Linked DNA regions of Arabidopsis thaliana. The protein of the gene in region 1 interacts with the protein of each later gene in a pairwise test. Each region holds a gene or a part of one and is shown on either strand. Other genes may lie near its edges.

Region 1 (6,092 bases):
TTTGTATCAGCAATATTGATGAAGCTACAAGAAATCTGCATACCAGCACGAGCATACCGTCTGATCAAAACGATGAACGTATCTGCAGAAACCAAATTCGATCCTTCATCGCTTCTCACTCGATCAAAAACCAACGACCAAGCAATTTCAAATTCACGAGCTTTACATAGAGAATTGACAACAGAATCGAAAAGTGAAGGAGAAAGTGTAAACCCAGGTTTCATCTCCGCCCATTTGAACACTGAGTGAAGCAACATCGGCGATGAACTTAACCGATCGAACAACGCGTGAACCAACTCAACACTCGGTTCGATTCCGGTTTCATCTAAAGCTGACTCGAGACTCGAACCGGGAACAACATCAGTGTTCTCGAGAAGATTCGATATAGTAGAGAGATCGGTTTTCGAGACGGTGTTTTGTTGCGGTGGAGTACATGTAGAATCGGGTACGGCGGGTGATTGTATCCGTTGGATGAGAGGCTCGACGGGAATGAGCGGGGATGAACGGCGAGATGATGATAACAATCTATGAAGAAAGAAGTTGCGGTGAGGATTAGGGTTTAAGAGGAGGTTGCGGCGGAAGGCGGTGAACAGAGAGTTCATTTTCTGCCGCCGTTTATTAGAATTAAGTGTCCGCCGAGAAAATTAGGACACTCCGATTACGCGCCATTTGGGCTTTTGTTTGTTAACTGAAAATATCGATCAACATGGCCCATTATTTTAAAATGAAGTTACATATAGAATATTTGATATATATCCTCATACAACTTAGAAATTGTCTTTCTAGTCCTTCTCCACACGTATTTAATTTGTTTTTTATAAAGATGTATATACAATTTATCATTTATTTTTTTGGATAATTTACAATTTATTATTTTGCAAGTAAGAATCCGTGTATGCGTGTGATTCGTATATGTCCAAATACATATAATTAATGTTGTTAAATTGGTAGAAACGCCTTTTTGACTAATGTTTGAATTTCTATATGTGAATAAATATCTTTCGAAATAATTGTGAGAATGCAAGGCAATGGATGTGGTTATTTTCTCCCTCCATTTCCTTTTCAAATTTATTTTATCCCTTTAAAGAAATAAACATATAAATATTATTGACCAAATATATTAAATTGATTTTAAGGTAAAATAGTTGGAAAATATGTGTATAATTAGAAAAATGTCAAAAATTTATAATTGATCTGAACTCGAGCACTTGTTGATGTGTATTTGGATCGTATTTTCCAGATACATGAATTTTAAATTAACATCTTTTAATTTGATTAAGTAAATCAACGATTAAAAACGTGAATGATGGTAGATACATTGCGGTGATAATATCGTACAGAATCGTTTAATGTAAATATAATGTCTATTAATGTATTTTCGTTTCCAAATTAGAAATTACTGTAATTTACGTAAGGTAAATATATTTTTTGTTTTCAAAATAATAGTCATTACCATTTTATGTTTGTCGGAAATTTCTCGACCAATAATTTGTCTATCTATCGAAGTAGTGTAGTTCTTAAAAAACAAACAAATTACCATAACATATAAACTTTTTTTTGTTAATTGACAGCTCCAACATATGTGTAGTAATAAAAGACAGTTGCACTATTCCTTGTATAGTAACTTGGACCAAATTATAGAAATCATTCTTACAATTTTTTACCAAAGAAATTGAAGATTTTTCCAAAAAAAGCAAAGAAAGATTTTTTAAATTCCGATTTTTTTTTTTTGTTATATCCAAAAAAATCCGAATTTCAAACAGTACCTTTTTCAGTCAGTCGCTTCCCCCGCTCCTCTCCGCTCTCTCCCCCACCTACACATATTTCAACACTCTCTCTCTCTCTGGAGCGTTCTCTTCTCTCCTTGAGCTTCTCTTACCGCCATTAGAGCTCCTTCACAAACTCATAAACCTATTTGTTGAGCCAGGTATCATCATCACCTCTCGTCTGCTCACAATTTCCTGTTTGATTACCGATTCTCTGAATCGTAGCTTGTTGCTCTGCGTTTTGATCGATCGGAGCTAATAGTAGTTTGGATTTTAGTCTAATCGATCTCTCTAGCGAATGTTTTTTGGTCTTCGATTGAGATGATCGATTCCTCTTTGTTGTTTCCGCTTGTATTTGGTTTCTGCGTATTTGTTCTTCAAGCATGGCTAATCACTGGGAAATTGAAATTGTTGAGATCGTTCTTATCTGTTTGACTGGATTTTATGAAACGTGTGTGTACTCTATGGCTCATTGTTTGTTTAAGTAATCGGTCTTTTAAAGGATTTTTGCTATGAAGAACAATGCTTAATTCGATTTGGAAATGACTAGCTTGAAAATTGGATCTATCGATGCAGATTAATGTGAAGGAAACATAGAAACTAGTTGTGATAAGCTGGGTTGCTTGTTTAAGCTGACATTTACTCAATAGTTAGAATCGTGTGGAATTGAGATCTGTGGCTAAATTTGAGTATGAAGAAATCGTTTTAATTGCCACTATATGCTTGTTTCTTCCTGAAATTTATGCTGCATTTGAACATTGCTTGATCTTTTTGATGGAGGCAAGGATAGACATTTGATTATGAACTGTTGTTGTTCTGCAGGCTTGGCTTAACCACTGGCCTTTTTCCAGACTAAATTATGTATTGCTCTTCTTCGATGCATCCAAATGCAAACAAAGAAAATATCTCTACTTCAGATGTACAGGAGAGTTTTGTACGAATAACGAGATCACGAGCTAAAAAAGCCATGGGAAGAGGAGTATCAATACCTCCAACAAAACCTTCTTTTAAACAGGTACTGAAACATGTTCTTATAGAAAGTCATGAATTTCAAGAGCTGATGCTAAACTCTCTAATTTCCTGCCTCTGGTTTATCAGCAAAAGAGACGTGCAGTACTTAAGGATGTGAGTAATACCTCTGCAGATATTATTTATTCAGAACTTCGAAAGGGAGGCAACATCAAGGTAAAGATTTCAGATGATACGCTTTCATTGTCTTGGTTGGTTTATATCTTATGTTGGTAATATAGCCTTCAAACTTTCCCTTTGGGCTTATTACTGTTGACATCACGTTGCAGGCAAACAGAAAATGTCTAAAAGAGCCTAAAAAAGCAGCAAAGGAAGGTGCTAACAGTGCCATGGATATTCTGGTAGATATGCATACAGAAAAATCAAAATTAGCAGAAGATTTGTCCAAGATCAGGATGGCTGAAGCCCAAGATGTCTCTCTTTCAAACTTTAAAGATGAAGAAATTACTGAGCAACGTAAGAACTACAGTGTTCGTGAAAATAATGATAGTTACCACCTTCTCCTCATTTCCGAGGTCATGTTGATCACTCGCTAACTTTAAATCAAGCATTGGACTCCAGAATGCTGAAATTAGTTATTCCCATTAAATTTGTGTTGTCAAGGGTTGAAACAAGTGAACTCTATACCAACATGAATTTCTCAAACTTACTTAAGGTATGTATCTTATACTGGATTGTGCAGAAGAAGATGGATCAGGTGTCATGGAGTTACTTCAAGTTGTAGATATTGATTCCAACGTCGAAGATCCACAGTGTTGCAGCTTGTATGCTGCTGATATATATGACAACATACATGTTGCAGAGGTATTGAATTACATGATCCAAATATTTGCTTTACATCTTTCCACTGTTAACTTCTTGTAACTAATCTCAATATAACTACTTATATGAAGACTGTTGGAGTTATAACCTCTCTTTTCTTGCAGCTTCAACAACGACCCTTGGCTAATTATATGGAGCTTGTGCAGCGAGATATCGACCCAGACATGAGAAAGATTCTGATTGACTGGCTTGTAGAAGTTAGTTACCTTCAAACTTAGCTCATATATATAAATAACGGCATCATCTTATTATGTTTCTTATTGAATAGGACACTAAACCTTACTATACATAGCTTTCTTACAAAAATTAGAGCAAAAACTGAGAGTACTTTTGAGTAAAATAGTGAAGTGCGTGGTATTTTCAGGTTTCTGACGACTACAAGCTGGTTCCAGATACGCTTTACCTTACAGTGAATCTTATCGACCGGTTTCTGTCCAACAGTTACATTGAAAGGCAAAGACTCCAGCTCCTTGGTGTCTCTTGCATGCTTATAGCTTCGTAAGTCCCTACTTTGTTGTTTGTGTGTGTTTGTCAATTTCAGGTTATAGCAATGAGAACAGCATTTCCATCACTGGGAGAGCGCGAACCTATATATATATGTATACTTGCTAAGTAGAGAAACAAGTAAGGCTTATCTTCCTTATACATTTTTGTTGAACCTTGTAGAAAATATGAAGAGCTTTCCGCACCAGGGGTGGAGGAGTTTTGCTTCATTACGGCCAACACATACACAAGACCAGAAGTAATTAACATTCAAATCACACATCTCTCGGTATCTTTAATGTGTACAGATTCTTGATGAAAATATATAAACTGGAATCTTTGTTTCAGGTGCTGAGCATGGAGATTCAAATTCTAAATTTTGTGCACTTTAGATTATCGGTTCCTACCACCAAAACATTTCTGAGGTAAATACTAAAGGGCAGAACTATGAATCATCATATCTTTCCAACTTTGTTTAAAAATAGTACCACTGAGTTTTCATCTTACCAATGTTTTTTCAGGCGGTTCATTAAAGCAGCTCAAGCTTCGTACAAGGTATGAAACCATGATCCATTTATCATCAACCCTCACTTCTACAGAAACTTGGAATCTGAATGTAGTGCGTTGTTTCTTATAATTATTTTGCAGGTGCCTTTCATTGAACTGGAGTATTTAGCAAACTATCTCGCCGAATTGACACTGGTGGAATATAGTTTCCTAAGGTTCCTGCCATCACTAATTGCTGCTTCAGCTGTTTTCCTAGCCCGATGGACACTCGACCAAACTGACCATCCTTGGGTCAGCTCATGTTTCTTGAATCTTGAAAAAGGTTGTTTTTGTGTTTGCCTCTTTTTTGTGCTGATAAAAAGAATGATGTTTGGTTATAGAACCCTACTCTGCAACACTACACCAGATATGAGGTAGCTGAGCTGAAGAACACAGTTCTCGCCATGGAGGACTTGCAGCTCAACACCAGTGGCTGTACTCTCGCTGCCACCCGTGAGAAATACAACCAACCAAAGGTACATTTCTCTACAAAACACCGTTAAATCAAACTACTGATTGTTGAAGAAAAGTGAATGAATGATTGAACTGGTTTTAATTCTGTATGACTTTGATAGTTTAAGAGCGTGGCAAAGCTGACATCTCCCAAACGAGTCACATCACTATTCTCAAGATGACACCAAGCAACATCGAAAACAGAGCCCAAGTCAGGTGATCAAAATACCTATTTTCAGACATTGGATGTTATGTCGTCTCTTTGCCAGTTTTGTCTGTCTGTAATTCTGTAGCTATTGTGTGGCGCCTTAATTGTAGGCCATTACTTGTCACACCACTTAGCTTTAAATAAATGTTATGGAATTTTTCTAATCGCATTGCTACAACTATTTACTATCCTGCGGGATTTTGTACCTAGGAGCACTTGGAAAACGAATACAAAAGTGTTAATTAATATAAATTTCACTGTTCATGGCTGGATTGTTATGTTGTTTGTTCTGATTTCGCAATGCTATATTCATATGGAAACATTTCCATCTACAATTAACGTCTCCCGTGTAACATTTGGTATCCCCTTTTTACTGATTCCTCCATGCTTGATTTTATTCGTCAAATTAGTCTTCAGGTATACTTCAATGTATGTATTTCCATGGCTTGAAGTTCTTCAATCTTCCACAAATTCAATCAAATCCTAAAATTCGAAGATACGCCAACACTTTTCCTCCTTAAAAACTCTCAACTATACCCACTTCAGTTCCTTAAGTTGAGTTATCACAGCTACAGTTCCTTATATAGTCCTCCACTAAACAAACAAGAAATCCCTAAGTCTGTAGCTCGACTTAAAACCGCTTCAGATACTTTTCTCAAAGTCGACTTACCTATAATTTTCTGTATGGCAATAGCCTCTACCGCCGTGATTGCGCACGAGATTCATTTACAAAGATCAGGACGCCTAAACCGGTAACTTCTCACTATAAAATGGTAAAAACAGTG
Region 2 (5,149 bases), 2.8 Mb from region 1:
ATTCTTTTTGGTCCAGAAAATCTGTTTCCCTTCCATTGAAGTGGTTTGCTGTTGGGCAGTGTTGGAGATATGAGAGAATGACACGAGGAAGGCGACGTGAGCATTACCAGTGGAATATGGATATTATTGGTGTGCCTGAAGTTACAGTATGTATCTCTCATACCTTTAATCACTTTAGGCCTTCTAGTTTTTTGTTATATGAACCTGATCTGTGTTTAAAGTCTCTATAAGCCGGCTAATTTGGTTCACAAACCTTTTCTTTTAGGCTGAAGCAGAACTAATTTCATCTATAATGACATTCTTCAAGCGAATTGGAATCACTGCATCAGATGTGGGTTTTAAGGTTTCAAGCCGCAAGGTATTTTTGCTTACGTTCTCTTTTGATGTGATATGATCATTTTGTTTCTTGGTTTACACTCTAGATACAGAACCAAGTAACTCACTTGCAATGCTAAACATGAGTTGAGATTATTTTGCACGATCTGCAGCATCTGAATATCCACTGTAGCTAACATCTCCCATAACTTCTTCCTTGTACAGGTTTTACAAGAATTTTTAAAAAAGTATGGTGTACCCGAAGACCTGTTTGGAAGAGTTTGCTTCATTATAGACAAGGTTAGCAATCTAAACATCAATTAACAGCTGCTTTGTTGCCAGAATTGGGACAAGAAGTAGAGAACATCGTGTGTGCTTTGGACAAAGATCTCCAAGGAGCTGCAACCACCATTGCAACCGCTCTTAAAGACAAAGGGCAAACCGTTGATTTAGTATTGGAGAGTAAACCGCTGAAATGGGTGTTCAAGAGAGCGGCTCGGGTAAACGCAAGAAGGCCGGTTCTGGTTGGGAAGTTGGTTCGGTCAGTGTCAAGGTTTTGTCTTCAGGTGAGCAATTTCAAGTCAAACTTGATGACTTGGAGTAGTAGTATCTAAGGCTTGAACAAATTGTTCAATTGTCCTTTTTTTCAAAAGCAATTGAGTTGAGATTGGATTTTTATTTTGTCCTCAAAGGTTTCATTAAGAATTTTATTGATGGATCTTCAATACTCGTTTATTCGTCTAATAGTGATTTACAAAATATACTTTTTGACTTCGAATCAGCCACATGTGGCATGTGATTTTTATTTCAAACCGAGAAATGCTAAAAAGAAAAGAAAATGTGCCTTTCGTGAACCTTAAGCTACATTATCACATAATCTTCGGAACTAGAAAAACTCTTTTGCTCCAGTTTTAGTAATGAAAGAGGATGAACATGATATGTTTATATTTCCTAAAAGCTCAAATCTTATCAACACTAGAATGAGTAAATTTCATATAATGAAAATTCATATCGAATGTGATTGACTAGTGGTATCAACCACACATGTTTTTAACTTTTTGACTTGATCATCCATCTACATTATGATGTATCAATGTATGTTTTTTATATTTGTTTTCATGCTTATTAAAGCCATATAAACATATTTTGGTAGATAATTCCAGTATTTAGCCAACAAAAGAAGAAGACGAAGATAATTTTAGTGTTTAGCCAAAATAAAAATAAAAAGATAATTCCAGTATTATATTCTGATTAACAAAAGACCTAAATTTCACTAAAGAGAATTAATCTTTTGGTAAAATAAAAAAAAAGTAAAGAAAATTATCTTCTTTAACTTTTTGTTTTTTTTTCACCTATGAGTCAGTTTGGTCCCTCTCTCTCTCTCTCATTGTGGACATCTTTTCACCATCGCACAAATAACAAGCCTCCCAACCCCGATCGACTTATCCTCCTCCTTCTCCGGCGAAATCCATTAACTCTCCGCCGCGAAAACCACCTTTCCAGAGTAGTATCACACTAAGAATTCTAATGTTGATCCGCCATTATTGAAGCTTCTAATTCTCGTTAATAACCAAAAACCCAAGTCGATTTTCAAGGTCAGTACTCAAAATCTGGGTTTTCGTCAAAATCAGAAACTTTCCTTGACAAATTTTAACAAATCTCTTTCTCGTTTTCTATTGAATTCTCCAGTAGCGCGGTAGTTAGTTTTAGGTGGAAGAAGAATGACAACTACTGGGTCTAATTCTAATCACAACCACCATGAAAGCAATAATAACAACAATAACCCTAGTACTAGGTCTTGGGGCACGGCGGTTTCAGGTCAATCTGTGTCTACTAGCGGCAGTATGGGCTCTCCGTCGAGCCGGAGTGAGCAAACCATCACCGTTGTTACATCTACTAGCGACACTACTTTTCAACGCCTGAATAATTTGGACATTCAAGGTGATGATGCTGGTTCTCAAGGAGCTTCTGGGTATGTAAACCACCTCAATTCTGTGATTTTTATATTAAAAGGCTTTGATGTGTTTATTGTGATGTTTGGTTTAGCGATTTTTAGGGTTTTCATTCTATTGCAATGGCTGCTTTTATGAGCTTAATGAATATATGAAACTGAACCAGTAGATGTAAGTATGATGTGTGGATCATACTTTTACAAGCTTGAATTTGGCTCTCCTGATATGTATTAGTCTAAAATCTACTAATAATCTGCATATTTGAATACTCATCTTTCCTATCCTTATTGGGACAAAAGATACTGTTTAGGCCATTGTCTTTGTGCGTTAATTTTTGTGTGGAAGTTGTTACATGTGTTCTGTGTAGTTTAGTTGATCATATAATCTATTTACAGTGTTAAGAAGAAGAAGAGGGGACAGCGTGCGGCTGGTCCAGATAAGACTGGAAGAGGACTACGTCAATTTAGTATGAAAGGTCTTATCTCTTTCTCTGCCCCTATTATGCTTTCATCTAAATGCCTTTCAAGTTTCTAGCTATGAATTGTGTGGATAATGCCTCTTAAGATTGGTTATACATTTAACTGATATTATGTTCGTCTGGCCTTCCTTTCAGTTTGTGAAAAGGTGGAAAGCAAAGGAAGGACAACTTACAATGAGGTACGGTAGTTTCCTTTTTAAACAAAAAGCTTCACAGTATTTATGCTTTGCAAGATCCATTCACTTCTGTTTATGTTATATGATGATACTGATTTATTGTGCTTACCAGTGTGATTAAACACTTGTCAAGATCACATATGGGAATATCAATTTGTCTCATGATTAGTACTGCAAACGTGTAGCTCTGTAATACGGTATCTAACAGGTGATAGTACTTTCAGGTTGCAGACGAGCTTGTTGCTGAATTTGCACTTCCAAATAACGATGGAACATCCCCTGATCAGGTATGCGTTTCTTCGATAGTTTCTACCCTGGAACGTGTGCAATACTCGTTGTGAACTCTGATGAAATTATATCATGTGAAAACGTTTTACCAGCAACAGTATGATGAGAAAAACATAAGACGAAGAGTATATGATGCTTTAAACGTCCTCATGGCTATGGATATAATATCCAAGGATAAAAAAGAAATTCAATGGAGAGGTCTTCCTCGGACAAGCTTAAGCGACATTGAAGAATTAAAGGTTTCAACCACATATTCTATGTGCAGATGTTCCATAGCTTGTTTAGAGAATTTTCCTGAATTTGAATTATTTTGTTTTGCAGAACGAACGACTCTCACTTAGGAACAGAATTGAGAAGAAAACTGCATATTCCCAAGAACTGGAAGAACAAGTAATGAACATCATCGATACTCTCGGCTTATCTGCTTCCTGTTACTTTTATCATAGATTCTTACATGGTCCTTCTATCATCTCTGTGTATGTCTGAAAGTATGTAGGCCTTCAGAATCTGATACAGAGAAATGAGCACTTATATAGCTCAGGAAATGCTCCCAGTGGCGGTGTTGCTCTTCCTTTTATCCTTGTCCAGGTAAACTTCACCAACAGCTTCGTATGATCTTAGATTGATCCACAAGGAAACCTCAGAAAAATGAAAAAATCACCTGATTGTTGTTGTTTCTCTGCACCAGACTCGTCCTCACGCAACAGTAGAAGTGGAGATATCAGAAGATATGCAGCTCGTGCATTTTGATTTCAACAGGTAAAATCCAAACACCAGATTTGATCTCTTTTCAGCTAATATATCTATGGAACCGATTACTGACACTGTGACAACTGTTTTCACTATTTGCAGCACTCCATTTGAGCTCCACGACGACAATTTTGTCCTCAAGACTATGAAGTTTTGTGATCAACCGCCGCAACAACCAAACGGTCGGAACAACAGCCAGCTGGTTTGTCACAATTTCACGCCAGAAAACCCTAACAAAGGCCCCAGCACAGGTCCAACACCGCAGCTGGATATGTACGAGACTCATCTTCAATCGCAACAACATCAGCAGCATTCTCAGCTACAAATCATTCCTATGCCTGAGACTAACAACGTTACTTCCAGCGCTGATACTGCTCCAGTGAAATCCCCGTCTCTTCCAGGGATAATGAACTCCAGCATGAAGCCGGAGAATTGAAACACGTATGAAGGCCCCTTGTACAATTTCTGTAAAACTGTAAAGTAGCTCTTGAAAAACTTTACCTGGTTTTTTGACGAATAGTCTGTTTAGCGGTAAATGTACCGGTGGTTTATCGAATCTAGGATCCTTGTCGGGTTTAGCGATTTTAAGAATCTTTGCCATAGGAAAAAAAAAACACTTTGCTCTGTGGTGTAGAAATGAATTTTATTAACCATTTGGATTAGTCCATGTTCGGTTCTGTTATTCGGAAACCCGGTTATGGACTTCAATTTTGGAAATTACGAAACTGAACTAATCGATTTCCGGTTTTGTTGAACCGAAATCCGGTTAAAATATTACCATATCAATCATATCATTAGAAATGTAGTTCTGTTTCATGTAATTCGGTCTGAATGTTAATAAATGCTGGGAACATCGGAGCTTGAGAAAGTCCGGCCATGGCGACGATTTCTCAGATACCTTTCTCTATCTCCTTCCCTTGTTTCGAATTTCGGAAACCATCGTTCTACTATCATCAGCCTCAACTTTTTGTTTCGTACTTGAATTCCACGAAGAAGCATAGTTTTATCTGTTTCGCATGTTCCACCAAACAAACCAGGTTCGAAATTTCTCGTCGTTTTTTTTTTTGGTTTTTGCTTCGATCTGTGGAAAATTGGAGACAGCAGACGTACTTCAATTATTGTTTTGGTTAATTGGTCTGCTTGAATTGAATTTGAACAGAGTTCGTAAGAGAGTGAAGAGCAATGAGGAG
Region 3 (4,732 bases), on another chromosome or scaffold:
TTGGGGTATTCTACAACATATTAAAAATCTCACTTGTCAGTGATAATTAACAATGCTTACTTGAGTAGCTTAATTTTCTTGAAGGGACGGGGCGATTCCTGTTCTGACTCTGATTGTTGGAGGAAACCTTCTCAATGGTAGATAAACAATAACAAATGGCTGCAGAAACTTTTTTTCCTAAGACAAAACCTTAAATCTCTGTTCTCTCTCTTATAATAATCACAGGTCTGAGAGGTTCAGGAATAAACAAGTCAGTCATAATGGGTGTGGTGGTTGTGCGTTACTTGTTGCTGCCAATATTAGGAGTTTTCATAGTACGAGGAGCGCATTACTTGGGTTTGGTTACATCCGAACCGCTTTACCAGTTTGTTCTTCTGCTTCAGTATGTCGTTCCCCCAGCGATGAATCTTGGTTCGTTCTTCAGACTCACAAAAATACTACCAAAACATGTCATCACACTGTCTTTCTCATAAACTCACTTGACCTTTTGGCAGGTACAATCACTCAACTATTCGGATCAGGAGAAAGTGAATGCTCTGTGATTCTATTCTGGAGTTATGCCTTGGCTTCAGTTTCTCTCACTGTCTGGCCAACATTCTTCATGTGGCTCGTAGCCTGAACATCCACACACACACACTTACACAAATGGGAAACAGTTGCAAATCTTGCTACTTTGAAATATTAGAGAAACTGATATATTCTTTCATTGATAAAAATGTTGGAAGGTTATACAATTGGGAATAGAGACCCAATCAAAAGGGAATATTGAAACTTCAATCATCCTAAGATAGCAGATAAATGCTTGAGACAAGCAAAGACAGAGATAGAACAAAATATCCTATTGAGAGTTTATAAAGAGAGCCTCAGAGAGAGGACTTGTCAGGCAAATCATCGAAGTAAGGATGCTCCATAGCTTTCTTTGCTGAGATTCGTTTTGCTGGCTCGTACTCCAGCATTTTCTGTGCACAAAGAGAAACACAAATTAGTCTCAGCAGAGTGATTATCTACTAATCAAGCAAGGTCTGAGAGGTGTGTTAGACACTAGAGACTTACAGATAAGAGATCAAGTCCAGCCTCGTCGAGGTTTGGCACAGCTGTGGAGAGACTCAACGGTTTCCATTGCGGGTATTCATGCCAGTCCTTGAGTTTGCTTACTCCAGGCCAAACTTCTTCGTTTGGTGTTCCCAACAACCTGAGTTTGACAGGAAAGAAAGAAACAGAACAACCAAGTTAGCGAATGTCATGTTTGTGTCTTAAAGGTAAAGATGAACACAAAGACTTACCTGAATATACGGAGGAGCTGTTGGAGCTCAGAGTCTCCCGCAAAGATTGCTTGCTTGGTCACTAGTTCAGCTACACATCAAAAAGGAAACAAAACTGTTAGTTCTTGCTAGTGACATTGAACTGAAACCAGTGAAACTGTAAGAGAAGATTTTGTACCAAAAATACAGCCAACAGACCACATATCCACTCCAGTAGAGTAATGGGTTGCTCCAAGAAGAACTTCCGGAGCTCTATACCATAGAGTTAGAATCTGTTGCAAATGAAATCATGGGGGTAAAATCATCCTGAGTTATAACTCCAGATAAACTAAGATAGAATTAAAAAAAAAAAAAAAAACTAGAATGAAACAGGACTAATGTTTCATCAACGTAGACTTATATACCTCATGTGTATACTTTTTCATTGGGAGAGTGAAGGCTCTGGCTAATCCAAGATCTGCTATTTTGAGCGTCATTGTCTTCCGGTCCATCAAGAGATTGTGAGGCTTAAGATCCCTGTAATGAAACCAAGACAAGTAGGATTAGAGATCTGTGTCAAAATGGGTTATCTCAAGTCATAGTTCTTCCAAAACAAAGACGATTTTTACCTGTGCAACACTCCATGACCATGGCAAAAAGCCATGCCTTTGCATAACTGGTACATCAAGCACTGCAATTCAAGAACATGTTTCTCTTAGCTTAAAGGGGCTTATCGGATGAGAGAAAAAAAGCAGAACAAAATCTCCAAATATCCAAACCTTGACAGTATTTTGTGGAATGTTCTGTCCAGCTTGACGAAAGCTTCTGATGAATTTCTTGAGATCAGTATCAACATACTCGAAAACAAGGTAAAGTACAGTTTTTCCTTCTTTGTTTATTCCTTGCTTAACATCCATCAACCTGTAGAAGAAGATAATCATCATAACAATAATCTCTCAGTAGAAATGCAATCACCACAAAAATAGTTGAAACTGAGATCACAACACAGAGCTTCTACTTTGACATTTTCTAGTATTCGGATAAGATAAGGAACCCATTTTATCTCGATCGGACCACACAACAAATAGCAAACTGAAACTAAGATCTACCAGTAACACCTAAGAGCGACACTAAGCGCGATTTGCAGGAAGAATCAGAGTCATCAAATCAATTGAGACATCAATTAATCGGGACTAAACCCTAGAAATCGAAATTGAGTCCTAAATCCACAATCAAAACCAGTAAATCGGAGAATTTCAGAAAGTGACTGAACCGAATCAGAAATGTAAAAGGAAATCGAACCTAACGATGTGAGGATCACGAGCGAGCATACGCAAGATAGAGATCTCGCGAAGAGTAGTGGGAGGAACACCTTCTTCATCCTCATGGAGACGCGTCTTCTTCAAAGCAACGATCATCCCAGTAGCTTTCTCTCTTGCTCTGTAAACTTTCCCATAAGTCCCTTCACCTACTTTCTCAAGCTTTTCAAAGGCTTCCATGGCGGAAACAGCGGGTTTAACTCCATTGTTGTCCATCTCTATCAATCTCTCAAGACAACTCTTCTTCTTCCTTCGCGAATCTCAGATTTTGTTTTCAATTTGGGGAAAGAGAGAGGAAATGTAATTAGATTCGAGAATTGGTTTAAATAGGAAGGAGATTATTAAAAAGGTATATTCCCTCTTTGAGCACTCATGTTTTTTCAACGGTTCTTTTTTTCTTTTTTCAAAATTCAAAACTGGAGCGTCGTCATTAGTTTTTTTTTTATGTTCTGTTTTTAAGTGTGACGTGGAAAAAGTGAATAACCAATGTTTGTCAACATCCGGAGACGGTTTAGCTACACGAAAGGAAAAAAAAAAGGGGAGAGTTTGTTTTTTGGTCAAAAGGTGTGAGTTTGTTGTTAGATTCGACAAAACACACAAGATGGGCCTTTATTGGGCAGGACGAAAAATTGACAAGCCAGAGAAGAACAAGTTCTTAAACAACATTGTCTTAAATGATTTTTTGTCCCAAAAGAAATAGTAATATACAACTAATTTTTAGATTTGAAATACATAAACCATAATAGTGCAATGATAAAAGCAAATGGGAAACAAACATTCTTATAAATCAGGACATTTTTTGTATAATCTATAGGCCCTAAATGTTTACTTGGTGGTATCAATGAGTCCCATAATCGAATTTATATAGGAGATGCGTCGGTCATTAGAAGCAACAAGCACCTTCTGTTGCTCATCCTCCTCTACAAAGAACAAGGAGGGCGTCAATTTATAGAAATCTCGGACGCAATTGGGCCAAGCAAGGGTTGACACCAAAACTCCCCAACTGTTAGCTTCCATGTCGTACACATGAAGAACACTTGCCAAAGGTTCTAAACCCATCTTTTTCACCCTCACCACAAGACACTTGCCATCGTACATAGCTATGTTCCAATATACAAGCGTTTCTTCCTCGATAGATATGTTCTTGATCCGCCTTGTGAGTGTCCATTTGTGATTCTCGACAAGTGTGTAAACGGAGATTGTTTCTATCGTCCCCGAAATTAGGGTCAGGCGATTGATCTTAACGCTTTCCGCGAAAAGTAGCTTCGTATCCGGTTCCCGATGAAATATGGAAGGAATCAAGCATGCTTGCTCTGTCTCGGGATTAAAAGACATGATGCTGCCATCGTTTCTCAGCCAGTGAAGAGTGTTGTCCAAGTAAACAGGTTTCATCCGCGTAGTGAGATCACTTTTTGAGCTAGTGGTGATACTCGTTTCCGATAATCTCCAAGAGTCTCCTTCGTTGATCTCGAATCCGTATACGTTTTCCATCTCGAGTATGCCCACGATCTTGAATCTCTTGGTTGTTAGATTTCGATTTACCGCAAATCCAACGCACATCGCTCGTTCCGTACAAGCAACATTACCTCCAGGATAACTAATTCCGCTAAGACCTTTAAGTCCACCATTAACTATCATTGGTATAAGCTTTGATCCAGAATGATCCAGGATTCGAAACCTTTTTGTTAAGGGATTTGCAACAAAGAGACAACCAATGTACAATAGGAGAAGACCAGAGCATGAGCCGAAAATGTAACAATCCGCACTACCATCAAACAGTTCTACTCCATTTCCCGGTGACATATAATCGCATGAAGAGACCAAAGGATGGCAACATACATAAGTAGCGCCATAGCTACCAAGGTTAAACAAACTAGGTCTGACCCATGAAGGATATTCCGGTCCAAATCTTGGATCACTTAAATATGATTTGATAGAATTGTTAGTGCATCGCATCATAGCCATAGATTTGGGTTCTAATCTGAAGAGAATCTCGTCGAGAAGGTCTAAAGGTAAATCATTGATGATGGAAGATGAATCAAATTGAGAATTTCTTGGCAAATTATTCATGATTCTATTTTGCTTGGCGTATGTGAATATTTTTGTGTTATTTTCAACATATATATATATATATATATATATATATATATATATATAATAATAGACAACATA

What was found.
Region 2: the proteins of CYC3B (region 1) and DPB interact in a two-hybrid assay, tested with the Arabidopsis thaliana proteins (one large-scale study listed by BioGRID).
Region 3: the proteins of CYC3B (region 1) and CDKB2;2 interact in a two-hybrid assay, tested with the Arabidopsis thaliana proteins (one large-scale study listed by BioGRID).

The regions. Positions count from the first base shown.
Region 1 is NC_003076.8:3,601,000-3,607,091, reverse strand, and holds CYC3B (mitotic-like cyclin 3B from Arabidopsi), read left to right. Parts: upstream 1-1,741; 5' UTR 1,742-1,927; intron 1,928-2,588; 5' UTR 2,589-2,625; coding exon 2,626-2,781; intron 2,782-2,864; coding exon 2,865-2,951; intron 2,952-3,064; coding exon 3,065-3,251; intron 3,252-3,477; coding exon 3,478-3,599; intron 3,600-3,721; coding exon 3,722-3,814; intron 3,815-3,981; coding exon 3,982-4,115; intron 4,116-4,283; coding exon 4,284-4,359; intron 4,360-4,448; coding exon 4,449-4,525; intron 4,526-4,621; coding exon 4,622-4,655; intron 4,656-4,748; coding exon 4,749-4,898; coding exon of another isoform or gene 4,899-4,987; coding exon 4,988-5,122; intron 5,123-5,221; coding exon 5,222-5,281; 3' UTR 5,282-5,579; downstream 5,580-6,092. Other genes in the region: AT5G11310 (Pentatricopeptide repeat (PPR) superfamily protein), read right to left, coding at 44-602.
Region 2 is NC_003076.8:840,806-845,954, forward strand, and holds DPB (Transcription factor DP), read left to right. Parts: upstream 1-1,682; 5' UTR 1,683-1,910; intron 1,911-2,004; 5' UTR 2,005-2,036; coding exon 2,037-2,287; intron 2,288-2,662; coding exon 2,663-2,742; intron 2,743-2,880; coding exon 2,881-2,924; intron 2,925-3,145; coding exon 3,146-3,208; intron 3,209-3,301; coding exon 3,302-3,448; intron 3,449-3,530; coding exon 3,531-3,599; intron 3,600-3,698; coding exon 3,699-3,797; intron 3,798-3,897; coding exon 3,898-3,968; intron 3,969-4,061; coding exon 4,062-4,395; 3' UTR 4,396-4,649; downstream 4,650-5,149. Other genes in the region: AT5G03406 (Class II aaRS and biotin synthetases superfamily protein), read left to right, coding at 17-146, 266-358, 541-639; AT5G03420 (5'-AMP-activated protein kinase-like protein), read left to right, coding at 4,836-4,996, 5,119-5,149. UniProt on the Arabidopsis thaliana protein: Involved in the regulation of the G1/S transition. Increases the DNA binding activity of E2F proteins after heterodimerization.
Region 3 is NC_003070.9:7,291,889-7,296,620, forward strand, and holds CDKB2;2 (cyclin-dependent kinase B2;2), read right to left. Parts: upstream 2,859-4,732; 5' UTR 2,777-2,858; coding exon 2,544-2,776; intron 2,163-2,543; coding exon 2,021-2,162; intron 1,933-2,020; coding exon 1,871-1,932; intron 1,779-1,870; coding exon 1,667-1,778; intron 1,535-1,666; coding exon 1,441-1,534; intron 1,354-1,440; coding exon 1,284-1,353; intron 1,193-1,283; coding exon 1,054-1,192; intron 960-1,053; coding exon 864-959; 3' UTR 620-863; downstream 1-619. Other genes in the region: AT1G20925 (Auxin efflux carrier family protein), read left to right, coding at 1-5, 85-137, 226-411, 495-619; AT1G20940 (F-box family protein), read right to left, coding at 3,386-4,630.